Linked DNA regions of Rattus norvegicus. The protein of the gene in region 2 interacts with the protein of the main gene of each other region in a pairwise test. Links are inferred from orthologs where the notes say so. Each region holds a gene or a part of one and is shown on either strand. Other genes may lie near its edges.

What was found. The genes of interacting proteins can lie anywhere in the genome.
Region 1: the proteins of Atf4 (region 2) and Ddit3 interact in binary tests that used the Homo sapiens proteins (3 or more experiments, as listed by UniProt). The link is inferred for Rattus norvegicus from reciprocal best matches to the Homo sapiens genes ATF4 and DDIT3.

What each region holds. Positions count from the first base shown.
Region 1 is NC_086025.1:64,999,544-65,005,459, forward strand, and holds the start of Ddit3 (DNA damage-inducible transcript 3 protein), read left to right. Parts: upstream 1-2,151; 5' UTR 2,152-2,186; coding exon of another isoform or gene 2,187-2,249; intron 2,250-4,744; coding exon of another isoform or gene 4,745-4,786; 5' UTR 4,787-4,792; intron 4,793-5,916. Other genes in the region: uncharacterized LOC128125814 homolog, read left to right, coding at 2,187-2,249, 4,745-4,786. UniProt on the Homo sapiens protein: Multifunctional transcription factor in endoplasmic reticulum (ER) stress response. Plays an essential role in the response to a wide variety of cell stresses and induces cell cycle arrest and apoptosis in response to ER stress.
Region 2 is NC_086025.1:113,682,392-113,688,190, reverse strand, and holds Atf4 (cyclic AMP-dependent transcription factor ATF-4), read right to left. Parts: upstream 3,511-5,799; 5' UTR 3,327-3,510; intron 2,788-3,326; 5' UTR 2,696-2,787; coding exon 2,476-2,695; intron 2,401-2,475; coding exon of another isoform or gene 2,366-2,400; coding exon 1,542-2,365; 3' UTR 1,452-1,541; downstream 1-1,451. UniProt on the Homo sapiens protein: Transcription factor that binds the cAMP response element (CRE) (consensus: 5'-GTGACGT[AC][AG]-3') and displays two biological functions, as regulator of metabolic and redox processes under normal cellular conditions, and as master transcription factor during integrated stress response (ISR).

The DNA of each region.
Region 1 (5,916 bases), about 49 Mb from region 2:
AGGGACAGAAGGGGAGGAGAGAGAAGGGAGGGGGAGGGGCGGGGGGGCCGGGCCCCGCACTCACCGCGGCCCATGGTTCGGCTGGCCCCGCCCTGCGCAGTCGCGGCCCAGAGGGTGAGTGGGAGGGGGTGGGAGGTGGGTCGGTGGAGCCCGAGCCTCCGGTACGGCCCCGGCCGGTCTTAGCAGGAAGCGCCGCCGCCGCCGCCGCCGCGGATCACCGAGCGGCCTCCCGCGCATGCGCCATAGGGGCCAGGGGCAGCCCTGGGGATTCCGTTCCCAGAAGGCACCGCGCAGACTGCTACCGCCGCCGCCGTCGCTGCCGCCGCCACCGCCGCAGCCGCCGCCGCCGCCGCCGCTGCCCGGACGGGAGAGGGGCGGGGCCGGGCCCCCGCCCAGCGGACAGCAGCGAGCCAACAGGAGGGGACGCAGTGCGCATGCGGGAGCGCGCCTACCCCTCCCCCACAACCCCCCATTAATCCCCAAGAGAACAAACACCCCACGCGGCCCCCCCCCGTCCTCCGCGGAAGGATCTGGGCCTCTTCCCAGGCCACTGGTGGCCAATCCCAATCCTCCCTCGGGAGGGGCCCCTTCCGAAGCCACAATCTGTTGGGGGAGTCAGGAATGTCAGGTCCGGGAGGGGCCAGCCCTAAAAGATGAAAGTCGCGACTTGCCCTGCCCCGCCCCAAAGGCTTCCCGGGTAGTGTGCAGAGACTTGACCCGCCTCTCCAGGTCAACATGTCACAACACGACCTCAGCCTGTCAAGTCACATGACCTCTGCCTGTCACTGACAACCTGGTCTGTCTTTAGGCCAGGAGAGACCATCTGGTTCAGCCCACCCCCAACCTCTACTAACAGAAGGGGAAATGAAGGTCTGGAGCGAAGGAGCAGTCTGGCCAAGGACCTGTCACTGTCGCACCATCCAATAGCAACCGGTCTTGGTTCAGTTTCTACTTAGACAAACTCTGGCTTGCCCCTCCCGAGTGTACGACAGACTATGTAATAGGCCACCACATGGCCTCTGTTTTCATGGCACAAAAAATAGGTTTTGCAAGATGTTTTTACTTTTACTCAAGTTTTCTTCACAGTGCTGTTTTTACCTTTACCTATCATTCTTTAATTTACAACTGAGTACGGTAGATTCCTTGGGCAAATTAAACTAGAATGACCCAGTCCAGGCAATCATGCGCTCAAGTGCATGCACGTCCCAGTCTCTAGGTCGTGAACCCAGACACCTAGAGGCATGAGGCCAGCTAATCAGCAGGGAGTCACAGGACTTGCTATCTTGGAGAAGGAAAAGGGTGGGTATTGGGCTTAGTGAAGGGCATAAGAGCATCACACAAAGCAGGGGTAGGATAAGTAGGCAGGAGGCTACACTCTACAAAGAACTTGAATTCTGGCACGCAGTGGACGATTCTGAAACAAACGTTAAAGCTGCCCTTCTGAGAGAAGCGGATGGACTACCAAGGAAATGCCAGTACCTCAGTCTTTGGGAAGCGTTAGAAGGCTAAAAGAGGAGGAGGTCTCTTAAAAGACTCCAGAAGATGTCAATCCAGGTGAACAAATTGGAAACTTTAAAGAGGTTCAAGAGCCTCGGTGCCCATTAGTTGGGAGGGGCCAGGGAAAATGAGTCTTTTATGGAGGAGTAAGTTAAAGGTGATGGGAGGTGGGCAGACAAGTTCAGGAAGGACAGCCGTTGGGGCCGTTGGACACTGTGAGCTGGCGCTCCGCCTTCTTTCCTCTCTCCCCCATCCCCCCCTCCCGCCCGCTCCCCAGCACCTCCCACCACCATCGACGTCTCCTGCGCGTGCGCGCGCGGACACCGGTTGCCAAACATTGCATCATCCCCGCTCCCCCTCCGCCCCCCCCACGTCATCCCCTCCCTCGCCGCACTCTCCTCCGCGCGCGCGCATGACTCACTCACCTCCTCTGCGAAGCCTCGTGACCCAAAGCCACTTCCGGGTCCGAGATAACGTAGACTCTCGAGCCAGAGGGCGCGATGGAGGCGGGGCCACGGGACTCCTGAGTGGCGGACGTGAGGGGTGAGGCGGAGCCTGTGCCAGCGTGCCGCTTTCTGATTGGTAGGCTCCTGGACACTACCCCCCCCCAGGAGGGACCGAATAGCATAAAAGATACTCGCTCTCCGCTCCAGAGGTCAGTATCTTGAGTCTAATACGTCGATCATACCATGTTGAAGATGAGCGGGTGGCAGCGACAGAGCCAAAATAACAGCCGGAACCTGAGGAGAGAGGCGAGTACTGACTCCGTCTACCCCTTACTTTCCCATCCTCGCCAACATAGCTATTCCACAAAGTTAGAGGCAACTGTCCTTGAGGGTGTAGCCCCACCCCTTCCACTGTGAGTTTGTAGACTGAGGGGCGAGTGAAGGCGGGTAATTCCTGATTCGGGAATGGTGCTTACAGGCCACCTCTTTGGGCGATTGCATTCCCGTTCCCTTGTCTCAGGTTGGTCCCTGCTCTGCAAAGGGACTCCGGTTGCCTTCGGAAATTTGTCTCAGTACTGACCATTTGCGGGCCATCTTAGGCCTAGGCGGTTCGCAGGAAAGGTGGGGCAACAGGACACACCCCCCAATGTTGGGGACTCCGGCTGTTAGCACCTCTTCTCCACCAGCCTCATTCCCCCCAACTCTTTCAAGCTGAAGCGCCTCAGGGACCACCAACATGGCCACTTTAGTAGCTGTCTCTAACGTTCAAGACAACTCAAAGACTGACAGATCTTTGCGAGTGGGGGTGCCGGTGGGAGGAGCATAGATGGGTTTTTCCCTTTTCCCCAGAGGTTTCTGGGTTTCCGTACAAGAGAGCAGCCTGGGTCTCTTTAACTATGGGAAATTACTTGGGATCTCTCCAGGGTCTTCTGCTTCTCTTAGGACTGATCTCTGCTTCTTTCCTCAGTCCTGTCTCCCAACTAATCTCTGTAACCGTTGCATCAGGCCAGCCCACTGTTTGTCTCTGCACCCTCAGGCCTGGGGCTCCTCTGCTGATGAAAGCCAGGTCCCACACACTGGAAGACCAAGGAGTTTTCCCTAGAGGACAACCCTGCAGAGAAACACTCAGGGCAATATTGCGTCTGCAGTCCCCAGAGACAGGCAGCTCAGCTCTGCCTTTGGGCTCAGTGGGCTTAGTTGTTCTCTATTCGTTCCTAACAAATGCCTAATAAGCACCCACTATGTGCCAAGCATTTGGGGATCCAGGGTATATTAGAAGCAAAAGACGAAACTGTTCTCAATAAAACTTACATTTCAATGTAAAGCAAAAGGGGGGAAAAACAGAAGCAGGGAAAAAATAGTTCAGGATGGTGGCTAGAGGTTTTATCATTCAGGAATTGCCTCAGTGGGTGGGTGAGATGGAAAGAAGGCAAGCCTGTGAGCCAAGCAGGTAATGTGGAAGAGGTTTATAGAAGGGAGAGAAGGAGCAGAAGGGTTGAGATGAGTGTGCCAGTATCCTTAGGAGCAGGGCAGTGAGCTGGACTAGAGTAAGCAGGAGAGGGTGGTGAATGGAAACTCAAGTAGCAGGTCCTGTAGAGCCTTGCAAGCATTCTCAGGATGCTAGTCTTTCAACAGTCCTGAAACAGGAATCCATTGGGGGATCTGAGCAGAGGAATGTCCTAAATTAAAAGGGTTGGGGAAAGACCCCATGCATTTAATTCCAACACTCAAAGAGGTAGGAGCAGGCAGAGCTCTGAGCTCCAGGCCAGCATAGTCAGATCCTAACTCAAAATAAATACAAAAACAAAGGGTTGAGTGTGTAGCTCAATAGTAGACTGCTTGCCTAGTATGTAGAGGGCCCTAGGTCAACCCGCAGCCATGAAAATAAAAAAGACAAGAATAGAAACAGGAGATCTTAGCTGGAAATAATGGCAAATGCCTTTAACCCCAGCACTTGAAAGGTAGGTAGATCAGAGTTCAAAGCCAGCTAGTCTACAAAGTAAGTTCCAGGACAGCAAAAGCTACACAGCAAGACCCTGTCTAAAAAAAAAAAAAAAAAAAAAAAAAAAAAGATTTCAAGGCTTCCAAAAATAATCTAGGGAATGAAATGCATAATGCATGGTAAGTTTACATCTGGAAATAATGAGAAAAAGTGAGAAATATTTAGGTTTTGGGTACTTCTAAAGAATATTGAAGTTGCCAGTGCTTTAGACTGAGCTGTGGTATCTGAGAAGGGAGGAATTAAGGATACCAAATGTTTGGCTTTAGGCACCTATAGTTGCCATTTAGTAAGAACTGTACCCCCTTGGTAGGAAAGGCCTTTTGTGTAAGCTGAATGCCTGCTCAACAACCAAAAGAGATGGAGATCCCAGGGCAGGTCTGGAGGCTAGGATGGGAATGGAGTTTAAGCAAATACTGCTGAAATCTCTCTTCCCTGTATTTTAGTTCTCACTTTGGCAGATCTGAGGTCTATCTGGATTTAGAGAAAACTTAGTTGGCCAGGACTTTGCTATTATGTAATCAGGACTACAAATGTCAGCAACTAAAAATAAAGTTAAGCATGCCTGTCCTTGGCTTCAGGGACACACACACACACACACACACACACACACACACACACACACACACACACGAGCCTCTCTGTGGCCTGGTCTACAGAGTTGAGTTCCAGAATTCCAGGATGCCCCGGGCTTCACAGAGAAACTGTCTCAAAATCCAATGACAGAAATTAAGAAACCAGCTAGAGAAAGACCAGTAAGAGGCTAGAGGTAAAGGACCTGTTTCTTCCCCTTTCTCCACAGTGTTCCAGAAGGAAGTGCATCTTCATACACCACCACACCTGAAAGCAGGTAATCTTAGCCACCCTCCCAGTCAGCTCCTAATGCTGCTCAACTTGCTTTGCTGGGATGAGAGTTAGACCAGGCCTTGACCAGAACCAGCTTTTGCTGTCAGACCATGTCTTTCTCTGATCCCATAATGTTGTTTTAGAGCTGGCTTGTCTCAAAGTCAGCCTCAAAAATGGCAACTGGTTTGTTTTCCCAATTCTCAGTCCACACCAAGATTAACCCCAAAGGACCTTTAGTTCAAGCTTCCCACACAAGAAAAAAGGAGTACAAATAGCTTGGTAATTGCCCCTAGAAATTACCAGTAGTGTTCCCAAGTGAGTTGAATACTTTTACTGTAATCCTGTAATATGTATGCATAGCCAGGCACAGTGGCTCATTCCTGTATCTCAGAACTTGAGAGGATCCTGAAGTTATCTGTAGTAAATCCCTCTGAATAAAGGGTAGGTTCTGTCAGGTATAGTGATGCACACCTTTAGTCCCAGCACTTGGGAGTTGATCTCTTTGAGTTTGAGGCCAGCATGAGTTCTAGGACAGGCAGGGCTACACAGAGAGACCCTGTCTCAAACAACAAAAGAAGACTGGCAATAGAGTCTGGAGAGAAAGCTTATCAGTTATGCATGCTTGCTGCTTCCTGCTGTACCTAAATCAGGCTTCCTGCAGCCACATCAGGTGGTTCACATAGCCTGGAACTCCAGTTCCAGGAGAGCCAAAGCCTCTGGCCCCAAACACTGATCATGTATACACATGCAAATTAAAAGCTTGAAACAAAATAGTAGAGATAACTAAATAATATTGACATTTACTGATTTAGTTCTTAAATTACATTTATTTGTTTGGGGTTTGTCTGCTGGCCATGGTGTGTATGTGATCATCTGGACATTGAGAGTTGAATCTGGCAGTATTAAACCCAGACTGCTGGGCTTTGGTGGTAGCCATCTCCCCATCCCAACACTCATTTAGTTTGTGTGCAGTGGTGTGCAGGTCAGAGAACAACTTGTGGGAGTTGATTCTCCACCCCCACCCTATTCCAATGTGGCTTTCAAGGAGTGACAACCTATGTATGCCCTTACCTGTTGTGTAAGACCAGTGCACTTTAAATTCTATATGTTAAAACAGGCATGAGATCA
Region 2 (5,799 bases):
CAGCCACCAGGACACCAGACTTGCCTAGAGTGGTCTTGCTTGTGGGGTAGGGAGAGCTTAGGTCAAGGTGAACTGAAGCTGGTCAGGTTCTAAATAGATGAGCTGGTATTCACCCTCTATACACAATCCCCTTCTTAAAGGCCAGCAGTCTGCAATTCCCCCAACCTGAGCTGGTCTATTTCTATGCTGGTTTTAGCATTTACCTGCCGTCCACCATGGCAAAGATCCCCAGTCCATCCTGTCGACTGCCTGAGTAGGTGCTCAGCATGGGTCTCGCTGCAGTAGAAGACTCCTTACTTGGGTCTTCTACATCCACCTCACTGGCCAACACAGCCTAGCTTCTGCTCGCCAACAAGGGTGAGCCAAAAGCCTGCCGCAGAAGTGGGGCTGCTGCTGTATCATCCTACCCACACCCGGGCCCCACCTTGTTCCCTGCCCCCAGCACACTCCTCCTAGATCAGGTCCTCCACCCAGCCTGCCAGCCCTTCGTTGGACCTCTGTCTTAGAAGGCAAGTTTCACAAAAGCTGAGCTGTTCATCTTGTGTTCAGTTGGCATCCCTGATAGTTTGTAGTGCATGCTGAGCAATCACCAGTGATAGGAAAACTGAAGGCCATTCTCTGCCAACTAATGGGCACCCAGAACAGCTCCAGTCTGAGCTGGCTAAACAGTACTTCCAGTCTTTTGTCAATACCTGGCAAGGGCTGTAAGTCACCATGGTGAGGGTGGCTAGATCTTAGCTGACTCTTTGGGTCTTTTACCTCAGGGTGCACCTAACAGATCAGGTGTGGTGACACACGGTCTATAACCCCAGCACTTGGAAGGTTCAAGGTCATCCCTGGCCACATATCAAGTTCAAGGTCAACCTGGGCTATGGGAAACCCTGTTTAGAGCATTGCCAGGGTGGACATGTGACATTACATAGAAGTGGAACAGCTGTAGTTCTCACGCACAAAGAACATCTGCCAAGTGAAGGTTAGTCATTGTCTCCAAGGGCCTCCACCAGTTTCTGCCCCGCTGTCACTCAGGCCCTTCCTCCCCCCACCATATCCTTGTGCTGGATTAAGCTGCCCCTGGGCCAAATGGAATAATGTTGAGGGTGATGGTAGGCTTTTTACCTCGCCTTGGGAGGATCTGTAGTAACAAACTGAAGGGTTGGAGTGGGGCTTGCCACCTGTCACAGGAAATAGTAGCTGTATCCCTTAAGCCTAAGAGAAACCTAATCCTCTTTGTGTTCAAGGACTGTACCTTATCTAGGTACTTACACAGCAGGTATCTGGCACAAGGCCAGTATGAACAGGTGCAATTCTGGGCTGGCCCTCACTAACCCAGAGCCCCCTCCCTCCAGCTAGTCTTTACCTGTCTCACTACCTGAACAGCTCAACTCATCCAGGTAGCTATCGTATTCAACCCAGACCTTGTGCAGTCTATTAGAAAGAATGACACAGAAAACTTCCATGGCTACTTTCACTACAAAATAATTTATTACAGCAAACACAGCATCACAAGACTATGTACAAGCACAAAGCACCTGACTACCCTATTAAGGAACTCTCTTCTTCCCCCTTGCCTTACGGACCTCTTCTATCAGGTCTTTTAGATACTGAATCTCTTTGGCGAGAGAATCTGCCTTCTCTTTCAGAGCCTCGTTCTTCTTTTCTAGCTCTTTACACTCGCCAGTGAGGGCTTCCTGCTCAGCCCTCTTCTTCTGGCGGTACCTAGTAGCTGCTGTCTTGTTTTGCTCCATCTTTTTCAGCTTCTTATCCAACTTTTCAGTCTTCACTTTAGCTGTCACACTAACTCCAGGTGGGTCATAAGGTTTGGGTCGAGAACCACGAGGAACACCTGGAGAAGGCAGACTGTCTGGTGGGGCCCTGGAGGTGGAAGGGCTGTGTTGGGGAGAGCCCAGGTAGGACTCAGGGCTCATACAGATGCCACTGTCACTATCAGAGGGAGTGTCTTCCTCCTTTACACACTGAGGGGTTAGAGTAATATAAGCAGCAGAGTCAGGCTTCCTATCTCCTTCAGAGATATCAACCTCACTTCCCAGCTCTAAACTAAAGGAATGATCTGGAGTGGAAGACAGAAACCCTGGGGAACAGGGAAGAGGCTGCAAGAATGTAAAGGGGGCAGCCTGGTCGACTTTTATTACACTTTCTGGGAGATGGCCAATTGGGTTCACTGTCTGAGGGGGCTCCTTATTAGTCTCTTGGACTAGAGGGGCAAAAAGATCACATGTGTCATCCAACGTGGCCAAAAGCTCATCTGGCATGGTTTCCAGGTCATCCATTCGAAACAGAGCATCGAAGTCAAACTCTTTCAGGTCCATTTTCTCCAACATCCAATCTGTCCCGGAAAAGGCATCCTCTGGGGAAAAAAATTTCAGGAGAGAACGGTTCATACTAGAGGCAGAAAACCTTTAGAACACCAAACCCACATGAAAAGAGCACACTGGTGCAGGTGTCCTCCCTACTCACCCTTGCCGGTGTCTGAGGCACTGACCAACCCATCCATAGCCAGCCATTCTGAGGAGCCCGCCTTGTCGCTGGAGAACCCATGAGGTTTGAAGTGCTTGGCCACCTCCAGATAGTCATCTAAGAGACCTAGGCTTTCTTCAGCCCCCAAACCCGACTGGTCGAAGGGGGACATTAAGTCCCCCGCCAACACTTCGCTGTTCAGGAAGCTCATCTCGGTCATGTTGTAGGGATTTGCTGGTATCGAGGAATGTGCTTAACTCGAAGGTATCTTTGTCCGTTACAGCAACGCTGCTGCTGGGTTTCGTGAAGAGCCTGCATAAGGATCCAAAAGCAAGTTCAATCATCTTTCTATCTAGGATGCTGGATGACAAAATCCCAAAAGCTTCTAAATGGAGAGCACGTGGGCTCAAGGCCATTGTGTAAGCTTCCCCAGCCGCCAGCTCGGGTTGCACAAGATGGAGGCTTAGCTTTGCTTCACCGGCCACCCGGAGGAAGCAGCTTGTCCTCAAGTCCTAATACGGCCAAGGCCGTCGCGCCCCGCCCCCGTGACTCACACCCCCCCCCCGCCCCACCGCCATCTTGGCCTCGCCACGTTCGCAGAATGACACCGGGAACCCGGGGGGGCGCGAGACGACTAAGTTAAGAGAGGACGAAGAGGAAGTAGCAGGGTTTTAGGCACTACTCCCTCCACGCCGCCTGCCCAACCCTCCCCGTGTGCGCCGGCGTTGCGGGGCCACCCAAACAAGGCCGACGCGTCTGGCCGCTTGTAAAGCCGCGTATGCTGGTCAACGCGCCCAGGCCGCACCCAAACACAGCAAAGCACACGCCCGCGCAGTCGGCCCAATACTCACGCCATGGCTTAAGCCGGTGGGGGTTGCCGCTGCAGAGCCTGGTGCTGCTGCCGCCGCTGCAAAGGCCAACGCTGCCGCAGGCTCTGCTGCCTCTAATACGCCATGGTGGCCGCAAGCCCTGCGGGAGGGGAAGAGGAAAGGAACAGCGTACAGAGAGACATCTACCACAGAGCAAGCAGAAATGGCGGCGACACGCCCTAAACCCGCCTTTTATAGAATCGGTGAGGGACGCAGTACACCCCGTATCCTCCCACCGTGGTCACGTGATCCCGCCGCCGCTCCACCTAACCCTATCCCATTGACGCTCTGGCCCGTCCAAACCCTTCTCCGCTGTGCTCGGGGAGTAACTGGGGCGTTACAGAGTATCCTGAAGGCCCCATGAAGGAAGAAAAGTGCACTACTTTATAGGTTTGCGACCAACTGAAGTCACGTTCCGGAGTGCGGAGGGATCGCTCGTTACGGAACTTCCGGTGTCTTACAGGGCGTGGAGAGACACCTAACCAAAGCTATGACGGTCAAAGCCAAAGCTGCCTGGTTATCACGCGAGACGCCGTAGGAGCGCGCGTCGAGCTGATTGGCCCAGGCGTGACGAGTCATCTAAACCTTAAGTTTCTATTGGCTCTGAACCTGGGCGCCCTAGGAGCACTAATATCGGGAAGAGCCACCAGAGGTTCCGGGTACCAGACTCTTACAGCTACCGACTCATCAGAGGTCACCCCAATGTAGTTGCTCTCTCCGGCATCGCTCCCGGGCAGCTTTGGTCCAGCACGGAGCAAACAGCTTTCCAGGAGTGACACTTGGGCTGAAAGCCCTCTTTCCCTGTATTTGTTGTTCTCAGAACCAAATGGGCAGAGCTTTAGGCATATAGAAAGGTCCTCTGGAGTTACCTGGTCCAATCCTGTCAGTCCAGGGACCGCACTTTGAGACAGGGCGTTCATGTTGGGGCCTTATTGGGAGATACTCCGGTTCCTCCAGCCCTGCATCTTTCCTCTGAATCCTGTACTGGGAAAATATACCTAACCTTAGATCTAACCTACTCTAAAATATGCCCATCACTGCTGGTTTGTATAGGGTCAGTTCCCTTAATATTGTGTTTTATTCAGTTGGATCTCAAGCCCTAGAGTAGTTCTGATTAACTCCCAAGTCTTAACTTCCTGGTATAGCCTTACCAAGAAGTCATCCTGGTGAGTGAGCAGCTGCTTAAGTGGTTGGAAGCCCCAAGTACTGGTCAAGGACAACTCACCATAAAGGATGCTGTTTTGGAAGTGCTGAGAGGCCCTCTTCCCAACTCCAGCCTGCAATCTTTTGAGTTTCCACGTCTTTTTAAGTGACTCATACAAATACCACTCAATTGGCACAGTGCCCGCCCCTTACTGCTCAGTAATTATTTGCAAGCCAAGTACTCCAGTACACACAATCCTAGCACTCGGGCACCATGGTTCAAGGTCATCCTTGATTACATGGTTATTGATTGCTATTTATTAATTCAAACCTAATTCCCAAGTCCCTCTCTCCCTAACTCCATGATTCATCTTCCTTCCTCAGAGGACCTTTCATTATTATTTACTGAGACTAAAGCAACTAAATAAATAACGCACAAGGCCTACATAATGAGATGTTTCTATCGACAAAGAAGTCATGAGTACATGTGCACACAAACAGAAGTTTCCTAGTCTCTCCATGCAAAGGATAACTATGTCCTCCCTTTGCTCTGGAAACAGAAACAGGAGCCACAGTTATATTGTTAAGTAGACATCCCTTACATGTTTCTGTCCCCTAAGTGTAATGTATCCTACAAATGTTTTTTAACTTATGCTGAATTTGTAACCCCGTGATGTATTTGCTAAACTCCTGAACCTGTGATACATGACTGCCTCTTGCTATACAAAACTGTGTCTCCCCAGAAACCTTCCACATGGCACAAGCTTGCACTTCTTTTTATGGCCGCCTTTCTAACAGCTAATTATCCTGACAGCTGTTTCCTATCACATGCTTCTACCCCACAGGCAGTCTTGAGTCCCCCACTCTTCTGTTCAGGTGCTAACAGCCAATTATCCCAACAGCTGTTTTCTATCAACCCTAATGTTTTCCCATAAAAGGGACCTCCAACACCAGTGAGGGGCTGCTTGGCTGGCCAGTCTAAATAAAGTTTGCTTAACCAAACAGTCAAGGAAATGTTTTTTTTTCTCAGCTCTAACCAAAGGCTCCTGAACATACAGGTTGGTCATACAGAGGTTTAAAACCATTGACCCTGATTTGACATTATAGAGATCATAGGAGAATGTCTGGTGGCTTCTTTCCCCCCATCCTAATCCTAGCACCATGTAAGAAAATACCTGATACTACATACACAAGTCAGAGTTGTTGGAAAGGAGATTTTTATTTTCTTCTTCCCATGCTGCAGAAGACGCTGTTTTCACCAGTTCAATTCCTCTCCTTCAAGGAGCAAAAAGGAATAAAGGTTCTCTGGGCC